Macaca mulatta: one gene and its partners. The protein of the gene in region 6 purifies or fractionates together with the protein of the main gene of each other region. This does not show direct contact. Links are inferred from orthologs where the notes say so. Each region holds a gene or a part of one and is shown on either strand. Other genes may lie near its edges.

Region 1 (3,196 bases), on a different chromosome or scaffold from region 6:
GATTATTGTTTATTGTTTTTGTAGCTTTTGGGCAACTTCAAGGATAAGGAACGCACCACAATTTCTCAGCAAGTCAAAGGGAAGAAGGTCTGGATAGGAATCAAGAAGTTACTCATGTTGATCGAGATGTCCCTACAGGTAAGGGACTTCCTTCTCCACATGACTCAGACAGAACAAAGCTTCAGGACACACCAAGAGGGTTCAGTATTTCCTTTGCCAAGGGTTTTAATTAAAGTTTTGATTTTCTTATATTATTTCCAAACTTAATTTGGTAGCCTGCTTCTGAGATTGACCACTTACCAATACTTTTCAACTTCTTAAAATTCAAAAATGGAAGGAAAGATTATAAAGTTAGTTTTAATTTAGGGAGCCACTAGATCTTAGAACTAGAAAAGACTTCAAAGAGCAATTGTTCTGCTGCCCCCTCATTTTGGAGATGAGGATACTGTGTGTGCCACAGGCTGTCAGTGAATTATCCAAGATCACTTCGCCAGGTTATTGATGGAGAAGGGATGGTGTTGCACCTCAAGTCAGTAGGCGACCGCACATATACCAAATGGTGTCTGGGAGACTGTTTTAAGGGACAAGTTAATTAAGTGGTGCAGTCTAGACCTGGGATCTGTATATTTGTCCCTGGCTGGGCTCCTAGAAATTTCATGCAAACTACTGTAGAGTTGAAGCATCCAGAATCATGAAGAAAACTAAGCCCCAGGCTGCTGCCTGCGCAAAGACAGATGAAACTTCTTTGGGACTTTCTCATATCTCCTGGCAACTTACCTTTCCTCTTTTTAGAACTCCACCCTTCCATATTCCCATCCTGTGTCTTCTTGTCCTTATCTGACATACTAGTTAGCTGATAAATATCTCCCTATCAAGCCCTATGAATTCAGAGACCTTGGCTCTTACTGTTGAGTCCAAAGTCCCTGGAACAGAGCTAACACATAGGAGGGTGCTTAGTAAACTTTTATTACTATTATTATTATTATTATTATTATTATTATTCTTCTAAGACAGTGTCTCGCTCTGTCTCCCAGGCTGGAATGCAGTGCCATGATCACGGCTTACTGCAGTTTTGACCTCCCAGGCTCAAGCGATCCTCCTATCTCAGCCTCCCAAGCTGGGACTACCAGCATGTGCTACCGTACTCAACTAATTTTTGTATTTTTTGTAGAGACGTGGTTCACTATGTTGCCCATGCTGGTCTTGAACTCCTGAGCTCAAGTGATCTATCTGCCTCAGCCTCCCAGAGTGCTGGGATTACAGGCATGCACCACCATGCCTGGCCCTCAGTAACTTCTTTTTTTTTTTTCTTTTGAGACAGTCTCATTCTGTTGCCCAGGCTTGAGTGCAGTGGCATGATCTCGGCTCACTGCAACTTCCACCTCCCAGGTTCAAGGGATTCTCCTGCCTCAGCCTCCTGAGTAGCAGGGATTACAGGCGCCCATCCATCACGCCCGGCTAATTTTTTGTATTTTTAGTAGAGATGGGGTTTCACCATGTTGGCCAAGCTGGTCTTGATCTCCTGACCTCAGGTGATCTGCCCACCTCGGCTTCCCAAAGTGCTGGGATCACAGGCGTGAGCCACTGCACCCGGCCAGTAAACTTTTGTTGGATGAATAACTATAAATTCATTCTGGTCCTAGGTGGACAGAGTGATTGTATTCTAGGCATCATGTGTTACTTACTGATGGTCCTGCCATTCTGCTAGTATGGGCAGTGAGTGGCAGAGGTGAAGTTTCTGTTTCAGTTACATCTGAAATAGGCTCTTGGACCAATAACACATTGGAAACATGAAGTGAATGCTTTTTAATCTTTTCTGGTAAATTTATCTGAAAATAAAATTTTTGTGGCTTTCAGAAATCTAATTTAATCTAAGCTTTCAGATGGACTATTTTTAAGTCAATTAATTTATTTTCCACTATGAGCCATAAATTAAAGTTACAGACTAACCACTTTGTTTAGACTTATTCTTGGTAAAGGTGCAAATACAGGTGTATTGGCTCTTTCCTTGAAAAAAAGATAAATCTGTCAGATTGTCAGCTCTTTTTTTTTTTTTTAAGTTTCAGTTTAATTTTTTTTTTCAATAATTGCATAGAAGAAACTATGTGGATTTTTTTCCCCAACCCTCATCCCTTTCCCTTCCTTTGATGCCTGCAGGTCAGTGATCGAGTTAATGCTTCTTATGCATGTGGGGTAGAGAGTGAGAGTGGGGCACTCAGGCCTAATCTGCAGCGACTGACATTTCATAGGCCTCTGAGTTTGAACCCCTTCATGTCAAATGGATTTCGTGCAGCTGAGTGAATTCTCTTTAGATCTGCCTTAGAGAGGCTGAGCCTAAGTGAAGAGGCATGTAGTTTTGCAGAATATAAGTCATGTTACCTCTCTGTTCACTACACGCGATTCTGTTAAAACTTGCACAGAGCTGAGGATCTGCTCTGACTGGATGTCACCTGAGGGAATAAAGTCATTTATCTAGATTACTTTTTTCCTCCCTTTCTCCTGACTTTTAATTCCATAGCTACAGGCAAGTCAGTAAGTTGTTGCTCACATATATTAAATATATTTAATGGGCAAAGAACTGCAAGTACCAACTACAACTATGCTTCAGCCAGTTCCTCTTTTTTTTTTTTTTAAGAACTTGACAATTGATTCATATGTAATTCTATTCCCAAAGAGGAAAAATGTTTCTTTTGTTAGCTGTTCACACTTTTTCTTAGTCCTTTGTAGTCTGACCTCTTACCTTTGATACATTTGAAACTTCTGTTCAGTGTTTTTCTGAGATAGAAGAAATCTTAAAAAAAAAAAAAAAGGAAAAAACTCCGTGGTTGGAGGGGGGTCCGATTGCACATCTACCCACAGCTGCACTGAGCATTTGAAAGTTACTCCTGGAGGGCAGGGAGTTCCCTCTTGGGAAACAGACTCCTGCTCTGAAACATATTTTAAAAGTTACGTGTGTTTCTTACAATAAAAATTCATCTTCAGGAATTAAAGATGTTTTTAATGATTGTTTTCTAGATAACTTCGTATCTCCTGTGGGCCTACGAGAATAAAGTATATTTAGCAAGTTAGTATAAATATGAATAGAAAATGAAAACCAGTCTAGATAGTTAGTAATAACCACCTGAACCAAGCACCTGAAACAAAAGTTGCACCATTTTTTCTTAGACTCATGACAGGAGACCCAGATTCATCTAGA
Region 2 (4,022 bases), on a different chromosome or scaffold from region 6:
ATCTAATTCGGTTTCCGAATTCTTCACAGAATAGAAATTGGCTGAGAGAGGCTGAGTGATTAGACCAAGGTCACAAACGGGTGAACCAGAATAGAAGGCAAGTCAATGAACTCCCTTTATGAAATTCTAAAGTCTTGAATTAAGCCAAGTGTGAATCAGACATGGTCTATGCCATTTGCCTGCAGTCTCCCCTCTATCCCGCCACCCAAACATCAAGAGAACAGTCAATCTGGCCCAAAAGTAAAGGAGCGAGAGTGAAAGCAAAGAGAGCACGCCAGGAAAGGAAGAGAGACAGCGAGAGTGTGTGTGATGTGTGTGAAATTATGACCAGAAGAATACAGGAGAAGAACCTGAATTAGAAGATTCCAGGGAAGAAAGAAGAGGAAGTGCCTCCTGGAGCGAGGGAAACGGAAGGCAGGACGGCGAACTCGGGGGAGATTTGTGAAAGGGCATCTCTGCCTGGACAGGATCCGAAGATCTGGAAGAAGATCTGAGCTACATAGATAATACAGACTACCACAGAGCAGACGCTGTTGACTTGTGCCTCAGTTTCCCGCCCGAGTCATCGAGCACAGGGCTTAGAAATAAATCCTCACCCAAGGAAAAAATATCCTAGTAAGCCAGGTCGGTCTCAACATTCAGGAGGGCCGGCTCCTACTCTGGGGGGGCAAAGACCACCAAAATCCTGCTTATATTCCCTGCCTTGACTCCCACCTCAGTGTGGTCCCTGGTGTCCGCTCTTCAGCCATCGCATATCCGGGGCGGCCTGGGCTCACCCGGAACAGATTTCTTCCTCCTTGGATAACTCCGTCATGGGCACCTCAGTCCAGGACAAGCAGAGAGCAAACCCTGGCCGCGAAAGGTTGGAGTGCGGGACCTGCTACAAGCCAAATGCCTCTCGACCAGCGCCCTCGTCGCGACTCTCCCGCTCAGGACCCCTGCGCAGTCTCCGTTACAGTCACTTCCGGGGGTTCGCCGCCTCAAACTTCCCTCCGGAAGCAAGTTCCTGTGACCTGTAGCTTGGGGATCCGGAGCCGATTCCCAGAACACGAAGGGGAAAAAAAACTCTCCTAATGATCCCTCAGAACCTGCATATTTTCATACGCTTTTTTGGGGGGCCACTAATTGGGGCGCTTTTCCTTAGCGAACTTAATTATCTTAAAGACGGAGCGGAAAATAAAGCACGCACGCAACCCAATTTCCGGAGAACCGAGATCGCGACGAACAACCAGGAAGCGACTGGGTTGAGAGCTGTTCCCGGTTCTCCGTTCTGCTCTCGGGGGCACCTCCCGGGGTTCCTAAGCCGCGGCGCCCCTCGCTGCCCCTCGAGGCCGTTTCCCTGACCTAGGCTTTGGCCTGGGCCACTCGTTCCGGAGCCGTCATGTCGTCCGACTTCGAAGGTTACGAGCAGGACTTCGCGGTGCTCACTGCAGAGATCACTAGCAAGATTGCGAGGGTCCCACGACTCCCGCCTGGTGAGAGCTCTGCCCGACTGGGCGAGGGTGCTGGGGAGCGCGGGGAGGGTGCGGGCGGTGGAACGCCGCCCGAACAAGTGTGTCTGTGAGGCGCGAGGCTGGAGTGGGTGGTGCTGGCTGTTTCCCGGAGGGGTAGGGCTTGCCTTGGTTGAGGGTAAAGAGTCAAGTTCGGGTGTGGGGTGCAGTGAAAAGAGCCTTCGGAATCTGAGCCATCTGAGTTCGAATCCCGACTTCACTCCCTTGGAACTTGTATAACCTGGAAACGTTTCTTAACGTCTTAAGAGTCTTAATGTTTTCGTTTGTTAATTAGAGATGTGAGTATTAAAAGAAAATGAATGAAAGTACGTAGTTGATGGATCTACAATCTACAGCGGCGTTGTTGTGTTAGTAATAATATTGTTATAATTATATGTGGCAAAATAGAGGTAGGAATCAGGGTGCCTAGATTCAAATCCCACCTCTGTCACTTAAAAGTTGTGCCTCTTAACTGGGGAGGCAGAGGTTGCAGTGAGCCGAGATCTCGCCATTGCACTCCAGCCTGGGCAACAAGAGTGAAACTCCGTCTCAAATAAATAAATAAAATAAAATAATAAAATAAAAGTTGTGCCTCTTAAGCAGACTGCTTAGTCTCTTTCAACTTTTCTTCTTAGTAAATGGGGGGAAATTGTACTTCTGTCATGGGGTTGTTAGGTAGATTAAATTTAAAAAACATATTTAAAGCCCCTTTGGTGTTGTTAGTTGCTGTATTAGCATTAGTATTTTTCATATCTCCCCATCCCCATTTCTTGTTTCTCATCCTTCTTGGGGATTTATTATATAACGCAGTTTTATGTCAAAGTTGGTACAAGATAGTTTTTCACACTTAAAAAATTTCACATCTCCCATCTGGAAGTGTTTTTGTTTTGGGGTTTGCTTTTGTGTTTTAGCACATCTGATTTTCTATGCTAGACTGTCACCTTTGTGAAGGTGGGAGCTGGGTCTGATTTGCTTGGTGCTTACTTATTAGGGGCTCAGAAAAATAAGTGAATGAGCAGGTGAATATAAATATGATCTTTTGTAACTTTGGTTTGGAAAATGTTGTTTCGGGGATTATCTTTCTCTACAGATTTGAGTAGTTAATCACAGAAAAGGATTTTACATTTTTGTTTAGTTTTGTTAGGGAAACTGAACCATCATCTGGCTGCTAGGCTTGTCCTTACCCTAGCTCCAGGATGTAAAGTGTAGAAAGGGGGATGCGCTCATTAATCTTCGGATTGGTGGGCACTTCACTTGCCCAGTTGTCCTGGTACTAGCAGTAATTTCTCCCGGACCTAAGTTGTCATTCCTCTTTCCCTTTCCCTACTTCCCCCAAAACTTACATGTTTATAAGTAATTTTTTCCCCTTATTTCTTTGTTTTTCTTCCCCTCACCTATTTTCTGTTAATACGGATATTTGCTTGAAGCCAGGATCTCTGAACTTACAACCCACTCATCTCCTGAAGTCCCCAGTTAGTTCTGGAGGAGATGGATGATGTCTTAAAGAGGTTTATGAGTCCAAGTAAGGGAACAAGAGGAGAGAACCAAGGTAGTATATACCACCAAGCTCTGCTGCCTCAGAGATTTTTGTGTCGAAAGTGGCTGATGGCCTCACCTCTTCATGATACATCACCTCGCCTCTTCTCTTCAGTTCTGCTTTTCTCCACTGCCAGAGATCATCTTGATTTTTGTTATTGTTGGAGACCACTTCCTTTGAATTGAGTCCCAGAGCCTCAGAGTATCAGGACTTGTGGTTCCAGTTAGAGTTTTACTCATTTTTAATTGTAATTGTTTTAGCAGTAGAAACATTTCTTTGGGTTATTAGCTTTTGTATTGGGAAGCTGTTTTACAAGGTAACAAAATCATCCTCGCATGCAAAGTTGTAAAAACTATTTCCAAGAAAACAGATCGTGTCACAATTTTTTTCTTACCTTTATATTTTAATGTAACAATTCTTAACACATAGAAGGAAACTGTTTGAATTCAGTACCTTAAAAATAAAACTGTGGGTGGGGCGCGGGTGGCTCATGCCTATAATCCCAAAACTTTGGGAGGCCGAGGCGGGCAGATCACTTGAGGTCGGGAGTTCGAGACCAGCCTGACCAACATGGAGAAACCCTGTCTCTACTAAAAATACAAAACTAGCCCGGTGTGTTGGCGCGTGCCTGTAATTCCAGCTGCTCAGGAGGCTGAAGCAGGAGGATCGCTTGAACCCGGGAGGCAGAGGTTGCGATGAGCCGAGATTGCATCATTGCACTCCAGCCTGAGTGACAAGAGCGAAACTCCATCTCAACAAATAAATAAATTAAAAAAAAACTGTGCCTCTCCTTAGCTGTAGTATTATGTAAGGCCCAAACACAGGAGCTACGTTACAATTGAAAGGAGACTGCATTGCTGGCTCTGGAAAAATGCTTACTGACTTGTATTATTGAATAATCATAATTCTTTTATTTTTTTTTTCTTTATGAGACAGGGTCTTGCTCTGTCGCCCAGGCTGGAGTGTAATGGTGCAATCTCAGCTCATTGCAACCT
Region 3 (3,995 bases), on a different chromosome or scaffold from region 6:
GATCAATTACCTCTGTGGTGGTCCCTGAAGGGAAATGCAGAATTGCTGAACTCTGGAAGGGAAGGAGGGGTTTGGTGAGCCCTCATTACAGACACTGTGCTAGTGGCAGTGCACTGCACACGCTATCTTTTTTTTTTTTTTTGAGACAGAGTCTTGCTCTTGTTGCCCAGGCTGGAGTGCAATGGCATAGTCTTAGCTCACTGCAATCTCTGTCTCCCAGGTTCAAGCGATTCTCCCGCCTCAGCCTCCTGAGTAGCTGGGATTACAGGCACCTGCCACCATGCCTGGCTAATTATTTTGTATTTTTAGTAGAGACGGGGTTTTGCCATGTTGGCCAGGCTGGTCTCGAACTCCTGACCTCAAGTGATCTGCCTGCCTTGGCCTCCCAAAGTACTGGGATTACAGGCGTGAGCTACCATGCCCAGCCTCTTTTTGCTTCTTACCAGCACTGTCTGAGCTAAGCATCAGCACCTGCAAACTCCACAGAGGTGAAAAGGTTCACTCAGGGGCCTGTAACTAGTAACCCAGAGCTTTCTGAATCAGAGCCCAGGATCACAGTATTCCAGACTTCAGGGGTTTTAGTGCTTTCTGTCACTGAGGGACCTGAGAACAAGTGTTATCCAGCAAGAAATTTTCATAACTGCATTTTGTTTCCCTGTGAGCCAGGCCTGGCATGGTTGATCTCTGTCTCTAGAAACTGGAGTCAGATATTCAAGACATTAAAAGGAGATGGCTGGTGGGGCGTCATGGCTCCTAGGACTTTGGGAGGTTGAGGTGGAAGGATTGTCTGAGCCCAGGAGTTTGAGACCAGCCTGGGCAACATGGTGAGACCTCATCTCTATTTAAAAAAAAAAAAAAAAGAGAGAGAGAGAGATGGCTGCCCTTTTTAGATCAGGAGGTCCAGCCTCAGGAAACCTTGGAGGGCTGCTTGATCTTTCTTTTCTAATTCCTGAAAAGTTAGAAGACCTTTAACATCTGAGAGCCCTATTACTCTAAGCTTAAGCTCTTGTTTGGGAAGCCACTGGGTGGACAGTGAAGAGTGCCCGCCTACCTGGGGAAACCTGAGTTAGGTGTGGCTGGAGCGACTCGAGATGCGAGGTGGGCGGGGGCAGGCTGAAAGCTGGAGCAAGCAGGAAGTGAGCTGACGGCCACCCTGGGAGGAAGCCGACTAGGCGAATTCACCTGCTGATCGGCCTGGGCTGCTCTGAGACATGGTGAGCGAACTGGAAACTAGGAAAGGGCTGATTTAAAGAGGAGCCAGAAGGGGCTCGGGACTGGGGGTTGGCTGTGTGGGGGGAGGAGAGTTGGCGGCAAAGTTAGAGGGCTGGGCCAGTGCTGCCTGTGGCCTCTCCTCTTTGACAACTTGGCTGCAAATAGCTCTGAACCGTCCTAGCAGGTGTTTCTATTCCTTCTTCCTCCCTCCCCTGACCTCTGTGCTGGTGGGGAGCTGGGCTTCCGTGCCAGTGCCAATGGGGGCTCCGAATTCCAGGCAAAGTGTTGTTGTGCCTTCCTCCTCCAGGGAGCCCGAGGCGGGTGTTGTGACACCACCAGGCAGTGCCTGGGCAGTTTCCAGTTCAGATTCCAGCCCAGCGGCAGGAGCTCTCCTCTCTGGCCTTTCACTTTATCCCTACACAGAAACACAAAGGATTTGTGTGTCCACTGAGTCCTTTGGGTGTCCTTTCTCCATTAACATGAAGAAGAGAACTAAGGGTTTATAAGATAACCAGAAGTTGGTTCTCTGTGATAAGCTAGTTCTGACCCATGCCACTGGCCTGTTTTTGGAGGTCAAGGAGGGAGGAGCTTAATAATATTTTTCTCTCCTTGTTCAAAAACCTTGTCATGAAGCCTCTGAGATGAGACATCAGCCAGGGAGGACTAGTCCTCCATTTCCCCCAACACCCAGGCGGGTATTTTTATTTAATGTCTGCATAAGCAGGTGGTTGCTTGGTGCCTGCGCGTGGTGCCCAGTGGTAGGGAAAGCAGAAGTGTGTGGCTCAACGGCTGTGGGCGCCTTCTGGGGTACTTGGTTGCCTGTTGTTCTGGGTCACAGCAGCAATGGCATTGCGGCCAGGGCCATGCTCCAGCAGGTATTTAGAGGGGCAGATGGGTGAGGCTGGGTGAGGGTGTTTTGCTGGCCAGCACAGACACTTTCAATGAGGATCCCGAGAAATCAGGAAAGGGGGGTGGCTCCGGGAATTGTAAATAGTGGTGGGCTCTGCCCTGGAAAGGGAACATTGTGAGATGCTGGCTCTGCTGTATTCTACGGCCTTCTCTAGGGAGCAAGGAAGCAGCGGGGAGGGATTTAGTGATGCGCTGCTTTTCCTTGTCAGGGGTCCTAACAATCCCGAAAGAAGTTTGATCTAGTCTCTTTAGCATCACGTCTTACCTTCTGAGGCTTACAAATGCATTTATTTTTGATTACACAAGTAATACATGAAAACATTCTCTTTGTAAACATTTCAAGCATTTTACAAAAAGCTGAAGTCTGCCTGAGGCCTTACCCTCCCCAGGCCTCTGAGGCCAAGTCTCCAGTTCCCCCACCACTTGGTCTAATTAACCCCGTGTTGCTGTGCAGGAGGAAGCCAGTGAAGGTGGAGGAAATGATCGCGTGCGGAACCTGCAGAGTGAGGTGGAGGGAGTTAAGAATATTATGACCCAGAATGTGGAGCGGATCCTGGCCCGAGGGGAAAACTTGGAACATCTCCGCAACAAGACAGAGGATCTGGAAGCCACAGTGAGACAGGGAGCCCACTGGAGGCTGGAGGAAAAGAGGAAGGGAGGGAATTTCTTTTTGGTGGGGCAAAATGAACAGGAGGGTCAGAAGTGTAACATTTCTGTTGCCTTTCACCTGGTTTGGGAGCTGATGTGAGCTGAGTCTCCACTTCTGAATCTGCTCTGCTCCACAGATTGTTATGGATCCCAGGGAATGGATCCCATGACTGGGGCTTGAGGTGGCAGCTCACCCATAGAGGCATATTCTGAGACTGATAGCTCAGTCAGCCCATGCATTCTCAGGCTTCTCTCCCGGGAAACTTGTTTTCCCTTTGAAGCCTGCCCATGACAATCATTTGGATCTGACCTTCCCAGGGCAGAAGTATTGGCTTTGAGGAAACCCCCCCACCGTGGCCTCTAGCCTTCTCTAGGAGCTATTAGACAAGGGGTGGGAAATTGCTGGCATCTTGCTGAGTTGGCTTTAAAAAGAAGGAGGAAAGAGCAGAGAAATGCTTTGATCCCAGGGTCCCCTGCTAGATGAAGGCTAAAATAATATCTCCCACACATCTTGCTAGACTTCATTCTTCTCTCTCTCCAGCCAGGGGCTGCGGCCAGCTGTTTCAGGGAGGAAGTAACTCCAAAGTTGAGCAAAGTCTGGAGCCTCAGGTTTTGTGTCCAGCTGGGAAGCTGGCTCTGGCTTTCTTAGTCCTGTGTGAACTCTTGGCTCTTGGGTATTGCTCCCTTGTCTCCCTGGGGCTCATTGCCTGTTTCTGTAGCTTAATTGTAGCTTAATTTGGGGAGCATGGCCCCGGGAATTTTTTTTTTTTTTTTAATAGAGCCTCACTCTGTTGCCCAGGCTAGAGTGGTGCAATCTCGGCTCACTTCAACCTTCGCCTCCTGGGTTCAAATGATTCTCTTGCCTCAGCCTCCTGAGTAGCTGGGATTACAGTGTGCACCACCACACCTGGCTAATTTTTGTATTTTCAGTAGAGACGAAGTTTTGCCATGTTGGCCAGGCTGGTCTCGAACTCCTGACCTCAGGTGATCCACCCACCTTGGCCTCTCAAAGTGCTGGGATTACAGACTTGAGTCACCATGCCTGGACAAGCACTAGGAAATTTAGTGTCTATAACTCGAATTGCTGGGCATGGGGAAGAGTGCATGGAGGAGGAGGAGTTCCCTTACTTCCAACCCTCTGTACTGTCCTGGTCCCTCCTCCAGCCTCAGCAGTCCCGATGGGGCAAGGAGTCCTGTAGCTGGGAGATGTGCCCACCTGGAGCCTG
Region 4 (3,500 bases), on a different chromosome or scaffold from region 6:
TTATGAAACCATAGGTTTCTGGGATGCACTTACAGTTTCTGATTTAGTAGGTCTGGAGTGGAGTGTGAGAATTAGCATGTTCCCACGTCTAACAGCTTCCCAGGTGATGCTGGGAATTACGCTTTGAGAAACGCTGTTTTAGAGTTGTTTCGTTCTTTTCTTACATGGCTTTAAGACACTGTGCTCTCTTTGATGAGTCTTCCAGTTTTTATTATAGAATGTTTCCCAAGAATGGTAACCTATATTCCTTTGGATCTTATACTTGCTAAGCGTCATTTTGGTTATACTTTTATGAAAATTAAATCCAGATTTACTCCATTTAAATTCAGAAAAATCTATGGAATTAACTCTCTTCTTGTAATAGCATAACTAATGATGCCAGAGAAGATGAAATGGAAGAGAACCTGACTCAAGTGGGTAGTATCCTGGGAAATCTAAAAGACATGGCCCTGAACATAGGCAATGAGATTGATGCTCAAAATCCGCAAATAAAACGAATCACAGACAAGGTAAAAGCTTTTTATTGCCACAAGAAAATGAGACACCCAGTTCAGTGTTTCCGTAATAGACATCTGTGCTAGATGCTGTGGGGGACATGGTAGAAGAAGCTCCTGGACTCATAGGTCTTAGTTCTGATGAGGTGGTGGTTTTTTTTGTTTGTTTGTTTGTTTGTTTTTGAGATGGAGTCTCACTCTGTTGCCAGGCTGGAGTGCAGTGGCACAATCTCAGCTCACTGCAACCTCCGTCTCCCGGGTTCAAGCAATTCTGCTGCCTCCGCCTCCCGAGTCCCTGGGACTACAGGCACACGCTACCACGCCCAGCTAATTTTTGTATTTTTAGTAAAGACGGGGTTTCATCATGTTGGCCAGGATGGTCTCAATCTGTTGACCTCATGATCTGCCTGCCTCTGCCTCCCAAAGTGCTGGGATTACAGGCGTGAGCCAACACGCCTGGCGAGGTGGTGGTTCTAACACATAAAACAAGAGCCAAGTCCTCCCCCTCATGGCAGTTGGTGCCTTTTGAAACCAGAGTTTTGGAATGTAGTAGTTTTACTTAAACCTTCACACATGAAGCTTAGTATCTACTTTAGCCTTTGAGTGTGTTTTTTTCTCTCCCAAATGAGTAAGTTTTATTTTGTTAACTAATTTTTTAATTGAGAATGAGGTCTTGCTCTGTCACCTAGGGTAGTGCAGTGGTACAATCACAGCCCACTGCAGCCTACCTCCCAGGCTAAAGCTAAAGCTTTCCTCCCACATCAGCCTATTTTGTTAACTAAAAATAAATTAAGTTCCTGAATCCTTATCTCATGAAAGAAAATCCGTTCTGCAGAATAGTTCGTATAGAGTGGTCACACGAAATAGAGTCATGTGAGTGAAAGAAAGTTGTGGTTCTTTTTTCTTTCCCCCTTAACTTTACATGATACCGTGAAAGTGAAATTGTTTTTGGTGTTTCGATGTGTCACATGTAAAAGTCATACCTTGACCAGCTGTAGTAGCTTCACACCTGTAATCTCAACACTTTGAGAGGCCAAGGCAGGAGGATTGCTTGAGCTCAGGAGTTTAAGACCAGAGCAAGACCTAGACTGTACTAAAAACATTTAAAAATTGACTAGGCATGGTGGCATGTGCCTATTGTCCCAGTTACTCTGGAGGCTGAGGAGAAGGATTGCTTGAGTGTAGGAGTTGAAGGCTGCAGTGAGCTGTGATTGCACCATTGCATTCCAGCCTGGGCAACAGAGTGAGACCCTGTCTCAAAAAGAAAGAAAAAAAAGTCATACCTCACTGAAATCTCAGTGAACTTTAAAGTTTAGGGTGAGTTTTTAAGCTTGGCTCTCTGTTAAATCACTTTTGATGGATTTAATTGAAACAGTGGTTCACAAGATGCTTTAAATGCTGCAGTCTGGGTTTAGGCTACATTTACCTGTCATTTTAATTCAGATGTTGGTGTGGATGGTTATAGATTCGTTCCAAAGATCTTTGGAAAGGTTATTTCAGTCTCTCCAGGTTAGACTTAGGGTGTCTGAATCCAGATGAGATTCTGTGATTCAGTTCAGAGGACTCACACAAGGTCCAATCTTTAACACAGAAGAGCACTCTTTCATATTTCATCACATCAAAAAATGCCATTGATTACAGGATGCATCCCAGTTTTAGGCGTGTTAAACCATGAAAAAATGTGTTATAGAATTGATGAAATATTGACAAGGTCTTATATGTTACACCTTTGTCATGTTTATATACCAGGGTTTTTCCAAATGAATTTCATGTTCTGTTACTTCTTGCCCAACATGAGTTTTGTAATGTAACCTCACGTGGTTTCTTGGATTTTCTCACTGTGTCAGTTACTCCAAATGTAAAATGTTTAATTTTTATTAGAGTTACTTACCTTGTAAAATAAAGCTGATATCTTTCTTGTTTTTCAGGCTGACACCAACAAAGATCGTATTGATATTGCCAATGCCAGAGCAAAGAAACTCATTGACAGCTAAAGCTACTGCTGTTCTTCTTTATCATTTATTCACTTCCGTAGCTCCTCCTTGAAAGTTATTACCTTTTCAGAGTTTAAATTTTCGGTTCCACGCTCTTCTAATTGGGAGATAATATGGAAGAAGGGCCAGAGCAGTCACAGCCCTCCTTCTCTTTTGTTTTCTATTGAGGGCCAACCGCTGCTCGGCCTTCCTTCTAGTATTTTCTTTTTCAATTCATACTCTTAGATTGGTTTTCATATGTGATGTATAATGTTTTCATCCTCCTCATATACTTTAGCAGGTTCTTTTGCTTTCAAGTTTTGGAAGCATTGCCAAAGACAGCCATGAAGAAGGAAGCTGTAGAGGTGTTCTTTGTTGTTGTTGTTTATTTTTGCTTTTGTGGTAGAGGGAGGGACAAGAGATAAGAGGTTGTTACCTCAGTAAAAACCTTCAGGCCACAAAACAAAAAGTTGCATAGCCACAGCGAAGATATAGTTAAATATAGTTTTTGATTTAAGTTGCGGTTATAGCCAATTTAGGCTAATGCTTGATTTTGGAGCTTTTATACACAAAATTTTTGTTAAGCATCACAGTTTTGCAACCTCTGCTCCAAAGAGAAAAATAGAATGAGTTTTCTTTCTTTCTTTTTTTTTTTTTTTCCTGAGTCAGAGTCTTGCTCTGTCACCCAGGCTGGAGTGCAGTGGCGCGATCTGGGCTCACTGCAACCTCAGCCTGCTCGATTCAAGTGATTCTCCTGCCTCAGCCTCCTGAGTAGCTGGGATTACAGGCGCATGCCACCATGCTCAGCTAATTTTTGTATTTTTAGTAGAGACAGGGTTTCACCACGTCAGGCTGGGCTTGAACTCCTGACCTCGTGATCCACCCACCTTGACCTCCCAAAGTACTGGGATTACAGGTGTGAGCCACCGTGCCTGGCCAAGTTTTCTTAAAGTGAGCTTAATTTCTGAACTCTTAGTGATTCATATATGTACATAAATCTGTGATCCCATTTCTTATTGCACCATTCAGGAAC
Region 5 (3,500 bases), about 190 Mb from region 6:
CCTGCCTGAAATTTCTGTTGACTTACAAAATCAAATTGGAATTTTTTTTAACCAAAGGAATTTTAAGGAGGGTTGTTTTTTATTGAGGTGAAATTACCATAACATACAACTAAACATTTTAAAGTGTATATAATTGAGTGTTATTTAGTATATTCGTAATATTTTGCAACTGTTACCTCTTTCCATTTTCAAAACTTTTTCATCACCCTAGAACACTTCATACCCATTTAGTAATCATTCACTATTTCCCCTTCCTCCCATTTCCTTGTTACCTCTAATCAGCTCTCTCTTTCTGTGGATTTGCCTGTTCTGGATATGTCATATAAAAGGAATCATACAGTATGTGGCCTTTGGCATCTGCCTTCTTTCACTTAGCACAAAGTTTTTCGCATTCATTTAAGTTGTAACGCGTTGTACCATGTTCCTTTTTATGGTTGAGTAATATTCCATTGTATGTGTATACACAATGTGTTGAGCCATTCATTTGTTAATGAGTCTTTGAGTTGTTTACATCTTTCAGCAATTATGAATAATGCTGTTATAAACATTCACAGGAAAGATTTTGTTTAGACATATGCTTTCATTGATCTTGAATATATACCTAGGAGTAGCATTGCTAGGTCATAGTAACTGTATGTTTAATTTTACGAGGAACTGCCAAATTGTTTTCTACAATAGCCACACCATTTTATTTTCCCACCAGCAATGTCCAAGAGTTCCTGTTTCTCCACATCCTTGCCAACACTTGTTTTCCATTTTGATTATAACCATCCTACTGAGCTCTTTGGGTTTTCATTTGCCTTTCTCTAATGATTAGTGATGGTAAGCATCTTTTCATGTGCTTATTGGCCATTTATATGTCTTTAAAGAAATGTCTGTTCAGGCTTTGCCCATTTTTTAATTGGGTTGTTTTTGAGTTGTGAGAGTTTTTTATGTGTTCTAGATATTAAATCTTTCTTTAGTAGACATGTGATTTGCAAATACTTTCTCCCATTCTGTGGCTTGTCTTTTACGTTCTTCAAAATGTTCTTTTTTAATTTTTATCTTTTTTTTTTTTTGAGACAAGAGTCTTGCTCTGTCACCCAGGCTGGAGTGCAGTGGTGCAGTCTCAGCTCAGTGCAGCCTCCAAGCCCCGGGTTCAAGTGATTCTCCTGCCTCAGCCCCCAGAGTAGCTGGAATTACAGGCACCCACCGCCTTGCCCAGCTAATTTTTTGTATTTTTAGTAGAGACAGTGGTTCACCATGTTGGTCAGGCTGGTCTCGAACTCCTGACTTCAGGTGATCCACCTGCTTGGGGCTCCCAAAGTGCTGGGAATATAGGCATGAGCCACCGCACCTGGCCTGATAATGTTCTTTGATGCACAAAAGTTTTTAATTTTTATGAAGTCCAGTGTATCTGTTTTTCCTTTTGTTGTTCTTGATTTCAGTATCAAATCTAAGAATCCACAGTCAAATCCAAAGTAATGAAGATTTACCCTTATGTTTTCTTCTAAGAGTTTTATGGCTTTAGCTCTTACACTTAGATTATTGATCCCTTTTGAGTTACTTTTTGTATATAGGGTGAGGTAGGGATTCAACTTCATTCTTTTGCATGTTGGCTCTTCAGTTGGCCCGGCACTGTTTATTGAAAAAACTGTTGGATGGCCTTCGCACTCTTGTCAAAAATCAATTGGCCATAAATGTTTTCTAGTTTTCATTGTCCAAGTCATTCGCCTTTTGGTTAAATTTATTCCTAGGTATTTTATTCTGTTGGATGCTATTGTAAACACAATTGTTTCCTTAATTTCCACCTCAGATTATTTGTTGCTGGTGTATAGAAACACAACTGATTGCTATGTGTTGTTGTACCCTGCAACTTTGCTGTATTTGTTAGCTCTAGCAGTTTGTTGTGGATTCTTTGGTATTTTTTATATAAAGAGAATCATCTGCAAATACAGATAGGTTTATTCTTTTTTTCCAATTTGGATGCCTTTTCTTTCTCTTGACTAATTGTTCTGTTCAGAGCTTCCAGTACAGTATTGAGTGGCAGTGTGAAAGTGAGCATCGTTGTCTCGTTCCTGATCTTAGGGGGGAAGTCTTTCACCATTGAGCATGATATTAGTTGTGGATTTTCCCATAAATGCCCTTTATCATATTAAAGAAATTCCCTTCTATCCTTAATATGCTGATTGTTTTGATGATGAAAGAGTGAGCTCATTTTTTTTAAAGCGAAAGTTTGGCTCAAAGTAATAAAGTGCTGACCTGAAAGAACAATGTGCCCATAGATTGTCTTTGAAGTCTCTGTGCCTCTATTTTTTTTGGGACGGAGTCTCACTCTGTCGCCCAGGTCGAAGTGCAATGGCGCAATCTCACCCACTGCAACCTCCGCCCTCTGGGTTCAAGTGAGTCTCCTGCCTCAGCCTCCTGAATAGTTGGGATTACAAGCACCCAGCACCACGCCCGGCTAATTTTCTTATACTCTTAGTACTGAGACAGGGTTTCGCCGTGTTGGCCAGGTTGGTCTCGAACTCCTGACCACAGGTGATCCACCCGTCTCGGCCTCCCAGAGTGCTGGGATTACAGGCGTGAGCCACCACACGTGGCCCTATTCCTCCATTCTTTGTGCATTACTTGTTGTGATCACACTCATCTAGGTGGTGGACATAATGCGAGTTAATGTGGACAAGGTTCTGGAAAGAGACCAGAAGCTCTCTGAGTTAGACGACCGTGCAGATGCACTGCAGGCAGGCGCTTCTCAATTTGAAACGAGTGCAGCCAAGTTGAAGAGGAAATATTGGTGGAAGAATTGCAAGGTAATTATCTTTTAACTCACCTTTACATTTAAGCCCCCTTCTCCATTCTCAGAGAATTAACAGGCTACAGATAATGGACTTTCATGACTCTGGGAGGTGGGTTTGATTTCCTCCACATGGAAATGTGGGTCCACTGTGAATCTGAAACACTGACTACATACCCTTTCCTAGCCTCACCCTGGGAATCCTCTATGTGTTGTGGCTGATCTTCAGAAGATGCACGTAGAACAAGAATATCCAAAATCACTCACAGTCATCAGCCCCTCCCAACCCTCTACCCCAGCAGGGCCCCAAACACATAGGAGAGGGCTGGAATTGGTTAGTTTTCGTGTAGTTCTGTGAATGGTTCCAAGGTCAAGGGAAAGAAATGCTAGAAAGCCACAGTGTGCCCAACAGAAGAGTAGAAAGCAGCCCGCCCAGGAGCACAAGCCAAAGCAGATTTTATACAGTCAGTGAGTCAGCGTGCTGCGACCAGATCCAGATGTATCCTGTCCTCTGCCTTGTTTACAAGTGACACTTTGAGACACAGGGCAAGCTGAGCAGCCTTTCCATATGTGGAAAACTTGTATACACACACAAATGCCTAGCTAGAGGCCACACATCATTTGAACATCTTTTAAAAAGCAGGGAAGTTACCTTCAGGCCCTAATTGAGAACATTTAATTTAGGCTTTAGAAATTATGAATTCTTCCAGACTGTAAGCACCTG
Region 6 (3,979 bases):
AAATTACCCAGGAAATACAAAAATTAGCAGGGAAATACAAAAATTAGCCAGGTGAGGTGGCACCCACCTGTAGTCCCAGCTACTCAGGAGGCTGAGGCGCAAGAATCGCTTGAACCTGGGAGGCAGAGGTTGCAGTGAGCCGAGATTGCACCACTGCACTCCAGTCTGAGCAACAGAACGAGACTCTTGTCTCAAAAAAAAAAAAAGAAAGAAAAAAAAGAGTATTTAATGAATTTTAAATACAGATAAATTATTTCTGATGAAAATTTAATGTCCAAATTTAAATGTGCAGTAAGTGTAAAATATGTATTAGATTTAGAAGACTTAGTGCAAAAGTAAAATATCTCATCAATCTTTGTATTAATCACACGTCGAATATTTTGAATGTACTAGAGATTACATTAGAATTAATTTCACCTGTTCCTTTTTATTTTACTGTGGCTACTAGAAAATGTAAAATGACGTACGTGGCTGGCATTATACTTCTATTGGACAGCACTGATCCAATAGATCCCAGGACAGCTGAAAGAGGAAATGAGACCAGAAGCAGGAAGAACAATTAAAAGACTCTTTGATAAGCATCCAGATAAGAGAGACAGGCTTGATTATCTAAATTCTGCCCATCTTCAAAACGTAATTCAAGATATACTTATTGCCTCCAAAAGCTTTCCTAATCCTAACAATTCCCAAGGAGATGCCTTTCTCTGAACTCCTGGGGCACTCATCATCTGCAGCATTCACTTCAACACTCATTCATTTGCCACCTGTCATTTCTACTTAATTTTGGGGTAATTTGTTTCTCAGATTAGACTAGAAGCTCCTAGGCCATAATTTAGGCATCTTTAATTTTTCCATGCTGTGTAATGCATTCTTGATACTTTTAATAAACACAGGTGCATGACTCCCAAAAAATCTGGATACACCTTCATGGGTGACTTTACCTTTCCACAGTAGAAGGTACTGAGAATCTCTTTTCCTTCAAGAACCTTAAAGACAGGAGCTAAAATGATGTAAAAGTCAATCAAAACTCCGAACCAATGTTCCAATAAAGTAGTGATATTTAATCAGTGAACAAGCATTAGACGACTGTATTGGATACCGTCAAGAAAAAAAAAATGCCACAACGGCAGAAGAATTTAGGCTTTTGACAAATTCCATAAAAAGTCAAACAAAAAATTTCTGATCATCTCTGATCTCCACTGCCAGAGATAACCTTTGCCAACCTAAGCATTAAGAACTTTCAATCAAGGAAAAAACACATTTTTAAAATTAACCCCTAATCAATTCTTCTAATAAATATCACATTTTCCAGGTAGGGAGTCACATATTACCAGTAAATCTACAACTCAGCATTTTCCCATCTAAATTAGAGTAAGGTGAAGAAAAAGACCTTTCCAGGGAAATGTTAAGAAATATTATAAGTGTATTTTACTGCATCATCGATAAAATCTTTCACCTAAAATGCCATTTAAATTTTCTACAATACTTGAGTATACAACAGCCAGCTTGTACCACTACAAAAATAGGAAGCTAGCAGCAACTCGTTAAAAGCAAGGGACATTCTGTGATCAGTACTGATTTGGGAACTTTGCAGTTTTCAGATTTTTCATGTTTGACATTTAAAACAGAAAACTGACACGTTTCTAATAAGAAACTAAAAGTTACATCAGAATTAATCTTCTTGCATTTGTTTAATGGCTACAAAGTGGATATTACAAAGTGCAGTTGAAGTTTCTATCTCCAAAGAAACAATCGAGCAAGATGGAGTTAGGACAGCTTACAAGGGAACAGAAGGCAGTTCTATTCTGAAAGGCAGAAGAAATAGGAGAAACCTGTCAAACAGCCTGGATGATATCAAGGAGTTAACAAGCAACACTCATTTCCTTTAGCACTGTGAGAAAATTCCGGTTGCTAATAGAAAGCTGAGGAAAGTTTGGTTTGGCTTGTTTCATTTTGTTTTCCTTCCAAATCATCACTGAGTATGAACGACTGCTTTCCTCTCCTCACATTACTCAGTAAAAACTCCCCCCATTGAATTGTCTTCCTGTGCCCTGCTCCCCAGCCTCCCAGATCGGCCCCCGCCCCCGCCTCCCTCCCAGCAAACGTGCTCAGACGCCTCTGGGCTTGTTGTGGTCTCGCCAGTCCTGCGGACGAGCGCTCCAAACTCAATGGACAATGGAGTTCACCCCCGTCAACACGAACTACAAAGCTCAGGAGGGCCATTTCCCTTTTCCTGCCCAGATGCTGTTTTCGCTCCTTCGAAGCAAGGTCCCATGCTCGAATAGACGGCCAGTGTGAGCTAGGACCTGCGTGTCTCCTTCTCACCTGCAGAGCTGCTGAGCCCCTCGACCCCCAAATAAGTTGTACCGCAGCGCACAGGCCAAAAAGGCCCCACCACCACCAGGGGCTTGGCTGGGGACAGTGGCTTCACCGTCCAGGTAGGGATGCAGGAGACGTCTCTGGACGCTTGGTCATGGCCCTCAAGACTAAGCCGTCTCCACTGTGACCCCTCCCCAGCTCCAACTTGCCTCCCCTCCCCCTACTGCGAGAAGACCGAGGAGGTGCGGGCAGGCAGCACCGCCACCTCTTCCTCCAGTGGAGCCCTCGGCCGACACTCACCCTTTCACCACAAAGAAGGGGTCCTCCATGGACATGGCGTCCCGGCCCCGGCCGCCTCCACCTCCACCGCGCACAGAGCGCCCGTGCCTCCCGGCCTCCTTCCGCCCACCCGGCCTGTTCCCGCAGCCGCCCGCGCCTTAGACTGGGGGACGCCAAGCAGCGGGCACGCGCGCAGGCCAGGTGCACGGGACCACCGCTGGTCCAGCACTCGCTCAGCACCACTGGCCGAATCCCGGACTCCAGAGCCGGCCCCCTCTGCAGCCTCCAGTCCCGGCTCCCCCCGGCGAGTCAGAGAGCCTGACCCCACCCCCAGGACCCTCGGCTGCGGCCAATCACGAAAGCCGCCTGAAGCACGACTTCCGTACCCCACTCACGTGATCAGGGCCTGCCCCTCCCCCAGTGGGCGGGGCCTGGGCCTGCGTCCCTCCGCCCTGGAGGCGGAGCCCTCGGGGCGGAGGAGGTGGGTGGCTTTCTACCGCCCTCTCCTCAGGCTTGAAGGTGAAGAGCGGCTTGTTCCCTCAGAGGTAGGCAGTCGGCTTTTCAGGATAAACTGTAGTTGTACCTGTTTTGCAAAATCCTCTTACCTTTCCTCTACTTTTAATACTTGATTTTGACAGTATGTAATTTATAAATCTATCTGGTCCTCGACTTAAAATGAAGCATAGTATCTGATTATGATGCTACACAGCTCCTTCAAGTAGGGTCTTACTTTGTGTTGGAGAGTGTGCTAAAAAGTTGTGTATGCATCATCTCAGTATTCTTTGGGGGAAGGTATTATTCCCCTCCTTCCCCTTTTTGGGGGGCAGGGACTCTCTCTGTCACCCAGGCTGGAGTGCAGTGGCACAATCACAGCTCACTGCACCCTCGACCTCCTGGGCTCAAGCGGTCCTCTCGCCTCAGCCTCCCGAGTAGCTGGGACTACAGGTGAGAGCCACCACGCCCGGCTGATTTTTAAATTTTTTGTAGAGATAGAGCTCTCAGTATATTGCCTAGGCTGGCCTCGAACACCTGAGCTCACAAGACCCTCCTGCCTCTGCCTCCCAAAGTGGTGGGATTACGGACGTGAGCCCCTACGCCATCCATTTCTCCCATTTTGTAGATGAGAAAATAAGTTCAGAGAGGCTTCACGACTTCCTGTAGTCACACAGCCTGGACAGAGCAGAACTGCAGATTCTGTGCACTTTCCACCAGATGGGGTGTACTTTATGTTGCTGTACATTCTGCAAATAACCATGTAAAGTAATTTTTCATACAGCATATGGTGCCTCCCAGGAGAGCGCACCTACAAGGAATAAAGAAGGGGCCAGGTATGACAACTTCCTCTCACTGTGGTTCAAGGACTATTCTAGAAAACATTTTG
Region 7 (3,500 bases), on a different chromosome or scaffold from region 6:
TCTTTCAGCTACAGATTATTCTGTCTTCAGCAGCCTGCAAAGCTAGCTGGAACTGGACTGTTAGAAAAACGTGTAGATGCTGGAGAAAATCTCTTTAATCCTAATGTGTAGCTCTGCCTTATTCCAGAAAAGACCACAGTATGGACATGAAGATGATAAACTTGAGGTAATGGAAGAAGCAGAAACACCAGATATGTTAGCAGCTCTTTTTTCTTTTGAAAACTAGCCCTTGCAAGATTTGCTTGACATACTGACTGACACAGTCCAGAAAACATTTTTCTTTTTAGTTAAAAAAGGCTGATGGTTTTTTCAGACATGTCTTGTGAACTGGCGAAAAATGTAAATGTTGAAAGCTGTAAAATTCAGCAGTTCTAAGTTTATTTCCAGCAAGAGTTAAAGTTTAATAGTAAATTCAACCAGTGTTTTAGCTTTTTGCGTATACATTATGTTTTTAAATTTCACCCATTAAACAAGGACTTAGGTTACACATTGATTCCTTAAGGACTTTAAGGAAGCCACAACCATTTATTTATAGTTGCATTTTGCTTTTCTGATTACAGTTGCATTTTACTCTTCAGCGATTAAAGCTTTTTTTTTTTTTTTTTTAACTTTGTTTTTAGGCATCAAGAGAGAATATATCTAAAAAACACTTGCGGCCGGGCGCGGTGACTCACGCCTGTAATCCCAGCACTTTGGGAGGCCGAGGCGGGCAGATCACAAGGTCAGGAGATCGAGACCATCCTAGCCAACACAGTGAAACCCCATGTCTACTAAAAAGAAATACAAAAAATTAGCTGGGCGTGTTGGCGGGCACCTGTAGTCCCAGCTATTCGAGAGGCTGAGGCAGGAGAATGGTGTGAACCCAGGAGGCGGAGCTTTCAGTGAGCCGAGGTTGCGCCACTGCACTCCAACCTAGGCGACAGAGCAACACTCGGTCTCAAAAAAAAAAAAAAAAGTATTTGCATAGTTAGTGTAATTGCTAAGCCACAGGGTGATGCGTGGATAACAGATTCAGAGGAAGGCAGCTGAGGGCAGAGGCTGCCTGAGAGCAGGAAAAAGAAGCTTGAGAGCCTTCTGGCTGGAAAGGCAGCTCAACAGATGGGCCGCAGCCGTAGATCAGTTCTGAAGCAGGGACTGAAGCAAGTTTGTCATAAATAAAGGAAAGTGGTAGTGTTCCTGTTGTGGTGGATGTATATCCACAACCAGAACCTTTAGCTCTGGAGGGACCATCAGGCTGCCACTGTGGCCAGAGAGCATCACTCACGTCTCCACTGGACAGATTTGCAGAGACTCATCTGTGAACAGAGCAAGTCCCTGCCTCCTGGAGCTCATATGCTGTGAAGAAAAGAGAGGCTGGGTGCAGTGGCTCATACCTGTAATCCCAGCACTTTGGGAGGCCGAGGCAGGTGAATCACCTGATGTCAGGAGTTCGAGACCACCGGGCCAACATGGTAAAACCCTGTCTCTACCAAAAATACAAAAAACTAGCTATGCGTGGTGGCAGGCGCCTGGAATCCCAACTACTCTGGAGACTGAGGCAGGAGAATCACCTGAACACAGGAGGCAGAGGTTGCAGTGAGCTAATATCATGCCACTGCACTCCAGCCTGGATGACAGAGCAAGACTCCATCTCAAAATAAAACAGAAAAGGATGTGGAGAAGAGGGTTGGTGGTTGGAAGGAGTTCTCCTTTAGGGAAGATGTCTGGGAAGGCCTCTCTCAGAGAGTGGCCTTTGAGAGGAGACCCTAATTGGATGAGGGATGAGAGGCTGAGCCATATAAGTATCCGGATGGAAAACATTACAGGCAGAGACAGTGGTGTGTGCAAAGGCCCTGGGACAGGGTCACACATGTTAACAGGTTTTAAAGCTGGAATTGCGGATGAACTAGAGTCAGACATTAATAGGACCAGAAGGGACACTGGTCCCTGAAATAGAATTCGAGGATTTGACCATGGCCAGGAGGCTCAGGTGGCCCACTGGGACCTCCTAAAGTGGGAACTTCATAAAGGAAGAATATAAGAACCAAAGTCCAGGGGGCAGTGCCAGGCCCCAGTCTGTGAGGGTTCCCAGAATTGGTGGGCTAGAGAGAATCTGCTTCCAGTTCAGGCCCTGGACTCTGAACCTCACAGGCACATTGCCATCCATCTTACCCGCTGCCCCCAGCATCGAGATGGGGTCTTGCTCTGTTGCCCAGGCTGGAGTGCCGTGGTACAATCTCAGCTCACTGCAACCTCCGCCTCCCAGGTTGAAGTGATTCTCCTGCCTCAGCCTCCCGAGTGGCTGGGATTACAGGCACCCACCACCACAGCTGGCTACTTTTTGTATTTTTAGTAGACAGGGGTTTCACCATGTTGGCCAGGCTGGTCTTGAACTCCTGACCTCGTGATCTGCCCACCTCGGCCTCCCAAAGTGCTGGGATTATGGGCGTGAGCCACTGCGCCAGGCCTCTGCTATCCATCTTAACATGGTGCCGTGAACCAGCCTCTCAGGAAAAGGGTCTCATGAACAAATGAGGAAAGCAAGCAGAGGTAGGGCAGGGAGGGAGAGGCAAAGGAACGTGTTGTTGGAAAGGGTAGTGTGCCCCTCACAGATGATAGTACCCGTCTCCAGATGTGCCCACTGAGAGTTTATGAAGTGGCTGCTCCATGTGGTCCTTGACTGGCCTAGGGGAGAGTCACAGAAAGCTATAATACCACCGCCTCTTGGTTTCCCCAGGAGCTTGTCCGTCAGCGAGGAGTCCTGGAGCGCACAGAGAAGATGGTGGACAAGATGGACCAAGATTTGAAGATCAGCCAGAAACACATCAATAGCATTAAGAGCGTGTTTGGGGGGCTCGTCAATTACTTCAAATCCAAACCAGCAGAGGCCCCACCTGAACAGAATGGCACCCTCGCCTCCCAGCCCAACAGCAGGTGAGTGTGTCTTCTACCATCTGGGTATAAAGGAGCAGAAGTGGGGATTAGTGCAAATGACCAATGCTTTCAGTCCACGTCAGTGTCATGAAGGGATCCAGCAACCCTTTAAGTTACTCATCAGGATATTTGTCCTCAAACATTGTGAAGCCAGAAACTGTTCTTCCGTGTTCCCATGTTCACTTGATTGACATGTAATCTGTCAACTGCTTCTCCGATAGTTGTGACCCCACTACTTTGAAAGAGAGGGTGTTCGCCTCAGCGTAATCAGTACAAATGTGACTCACTTCACATAATTTTTCCTTTAAAAAGTCTTTAGGGCTGGGTGCAGTGGCTCACATCTGTAATCCCGAAACTTTGGGATGCCAAGGTGAGTGGATTGCTTAAGTCCAGAAGTTCAAGACCAGCCCGGGCAACATAGTGGTACCCCAGTCTTTACAAAAATTACCCAAGCATTGTGGTGCACACCTGTAGTCGCAGCTCCTCAGGAGGCTGAGGTAAGAGGATCGCATGAGGCCTGGAGGTCAAGGCTGCAGTGAGCTGTAATGGTGCTGCTGCACTCCAACCTGAGCTACAGAGGGAGGTCC

The links.
Region 1: the proteins of STX6 (region 6) and NSF purify together in Homo sapiens (affinity purification with mass spectrometry; 3 studies listed by BioGRID and IntAct, with this or other methods). This does not show direct contact. The link is inferred for Macaca mulatta from reciprocal best matches to the Homo sapiens genes STX6 and NSF.
Region 2: the proteins of STX6 (region 6) and VTI1A purify together in Homo sapiens (affinity purification with mass spectrometry; 3 studies listed by BioGRID and IntAct, counting the BioPlex papers as one, with this or other methods). This does not show direct contact. The link is inferred for Macaca mulatta from reciprocal best matches to the Homo sapiens genes STX6 and VTI1A.
Region 3: the proteins of STX6 (region 6) and VAMP8 purify together in Homo sapiens (affinity purification with mass spectrometry; 3 studies listed by BioGRID and IntAct, counting the BioPlex papers as one, with this or other methods). This does not show direct contact. The link is inferred for Macaca mulatta from reciprocal best matches to the Homo sapiens genes STX6 and VAMP8.
Region 4: the proteins of STX6 (region 6) and SNAP23 purify together in Homo sapiens (affinity purification with mass spectrometry; 3 studies listed by BioGRID and IntAct, with this or other methods). This does not show direct contact. The link is inferred for Macaca mulatta from reciprocal best matches to the Homo sapiens genes STX6 and SNAP23.
Region 5: the proteins of STX6 (region 6) and VAMP3 purify together in Homo sapiens (affinity purification with mass spectrometry; 5 studies listed by BioGRID and IntAct, counting the BioPlex papers as one, with this or other methods). This does not show direct contact. The link is inferred for Macaca mulatta from reciprocal best matches to the Homo sapiens genes STX6 and VAMP3.
Region 7: the proteins of STX6 (region 6) and SNAP29 purify together in Homo sapiens (co-immunoprecipitation; 3 studies listed by BioGRID and IntAct, counting the BioPlex papers as one, with this or other methods). This does not show direct contact. The link is inferred for Macaca mulatta from reciprocal best matches to the Homo sapiens genes STX6 and SNAP29.

What each region holds. Positions count from the first base shown.
Region 1 is NC_133421.1:70,345,682-70,348,877, reverse strand, and holds part of NSF (vesicle-fusing ATPase), read left to right. Parts: intron 1-24; coding exon 25-138; intron 139-3,196.
Region 2 is NC_133414.1:124,588,283-124,592,304, forward strand, and holds the start of VTI1A (vesicle transport through interaction with t-SNAREs homolog 1A), read left to right. Parts: upstream 1-1,222; 5' UTR 1,223-1,381; coding exon 1,382-1,475; intron 1,476-4,022. UniProt on the Homo sapiens protein: V-SNARE that mediates vesicle transport pathways through interactions with t-SNAREs on the target membrane. These interactions are proposed to mediate aspects of the specificity of vesicle trafficking and to promote fusion of the lipid bilayers.
Region 3 is NC_133418.1:38,814,537-38,818,531, reverse strand, and holds the start of VAMP8 (vesicle-associated membrane protein 8), read left to right. Parts: upstream 1-1,195; 5' UTR 1,196-1,211; coding exon 1,212-1,214; intron 1,215-2,575; coding exon 2,576-2,734; intron 2,735-3,995. UniProt on the Homo sapiens protein: SNAREs, soluble N-ethylmaleimide-sensitive factor-attachment protein receptors, are essential proteins for fusion of cellular membranes.
Region 4 is NC_133412.1:19,935,759-19,939,258, forward strand, and holds the end of SNAP23 (synaptosomal-associated protein 23), read left to right. Parts: intron 1-364; coding exon 365-509; intron 510-2,422; coding exon 2,423-2,488; 3' UTR 2,489-3,163; downstream 3,164-3,500. UniProt on the Homo sapiens protein: Essential component of the high affinity receptor for the general membrane fusion machinery and an important regulator of transport vesicle docking and fusion.
Region 5 is NC_133406.1:233,015,685-233,019,184, reverse strand, and holds part of VAMP3 (vesicle-associated membrane protein 3), read left to right. Parts: intron 1-2,633; coding exon 2,634-2,792; intron 2,793-3,500. UniProt on the Homo sapiens protein: SNARE involved in vesicular transport from the late endosomes to the trans-Golgi network.
Region 6 is NC_133406.1:38,431,628-38,435,606, forward strand, and holds the start of STX6 (syntaxin-6), read right to left. Parts: upstream 2,801-3,979; 5' UTR 2,655-2,800; coding exon 2,620-2,654; intron 1-2,619. UniProt on the Homo sapiens protein: SNARE promoting movement of transport vesicles to target membranes. Targets endosomes to the trans-Golgi network, and may therefore function in retrograde trafficking.
Region 7 is NC_133415.1:31,700,218-31,703,717, forward strand, and holds part of SNAP29 (synaptosomal-associated protein 29), read left to right. Parts: intron 1-2,716; coding exon 2,717-2,913; intron 2,914-3,500. UniProt on the Homo sapiens protein: SNAREs, soluble N-ethylmaleimide-sensitive factor-attachment protein receptors, are essential proteins for fusion of cellular membranes.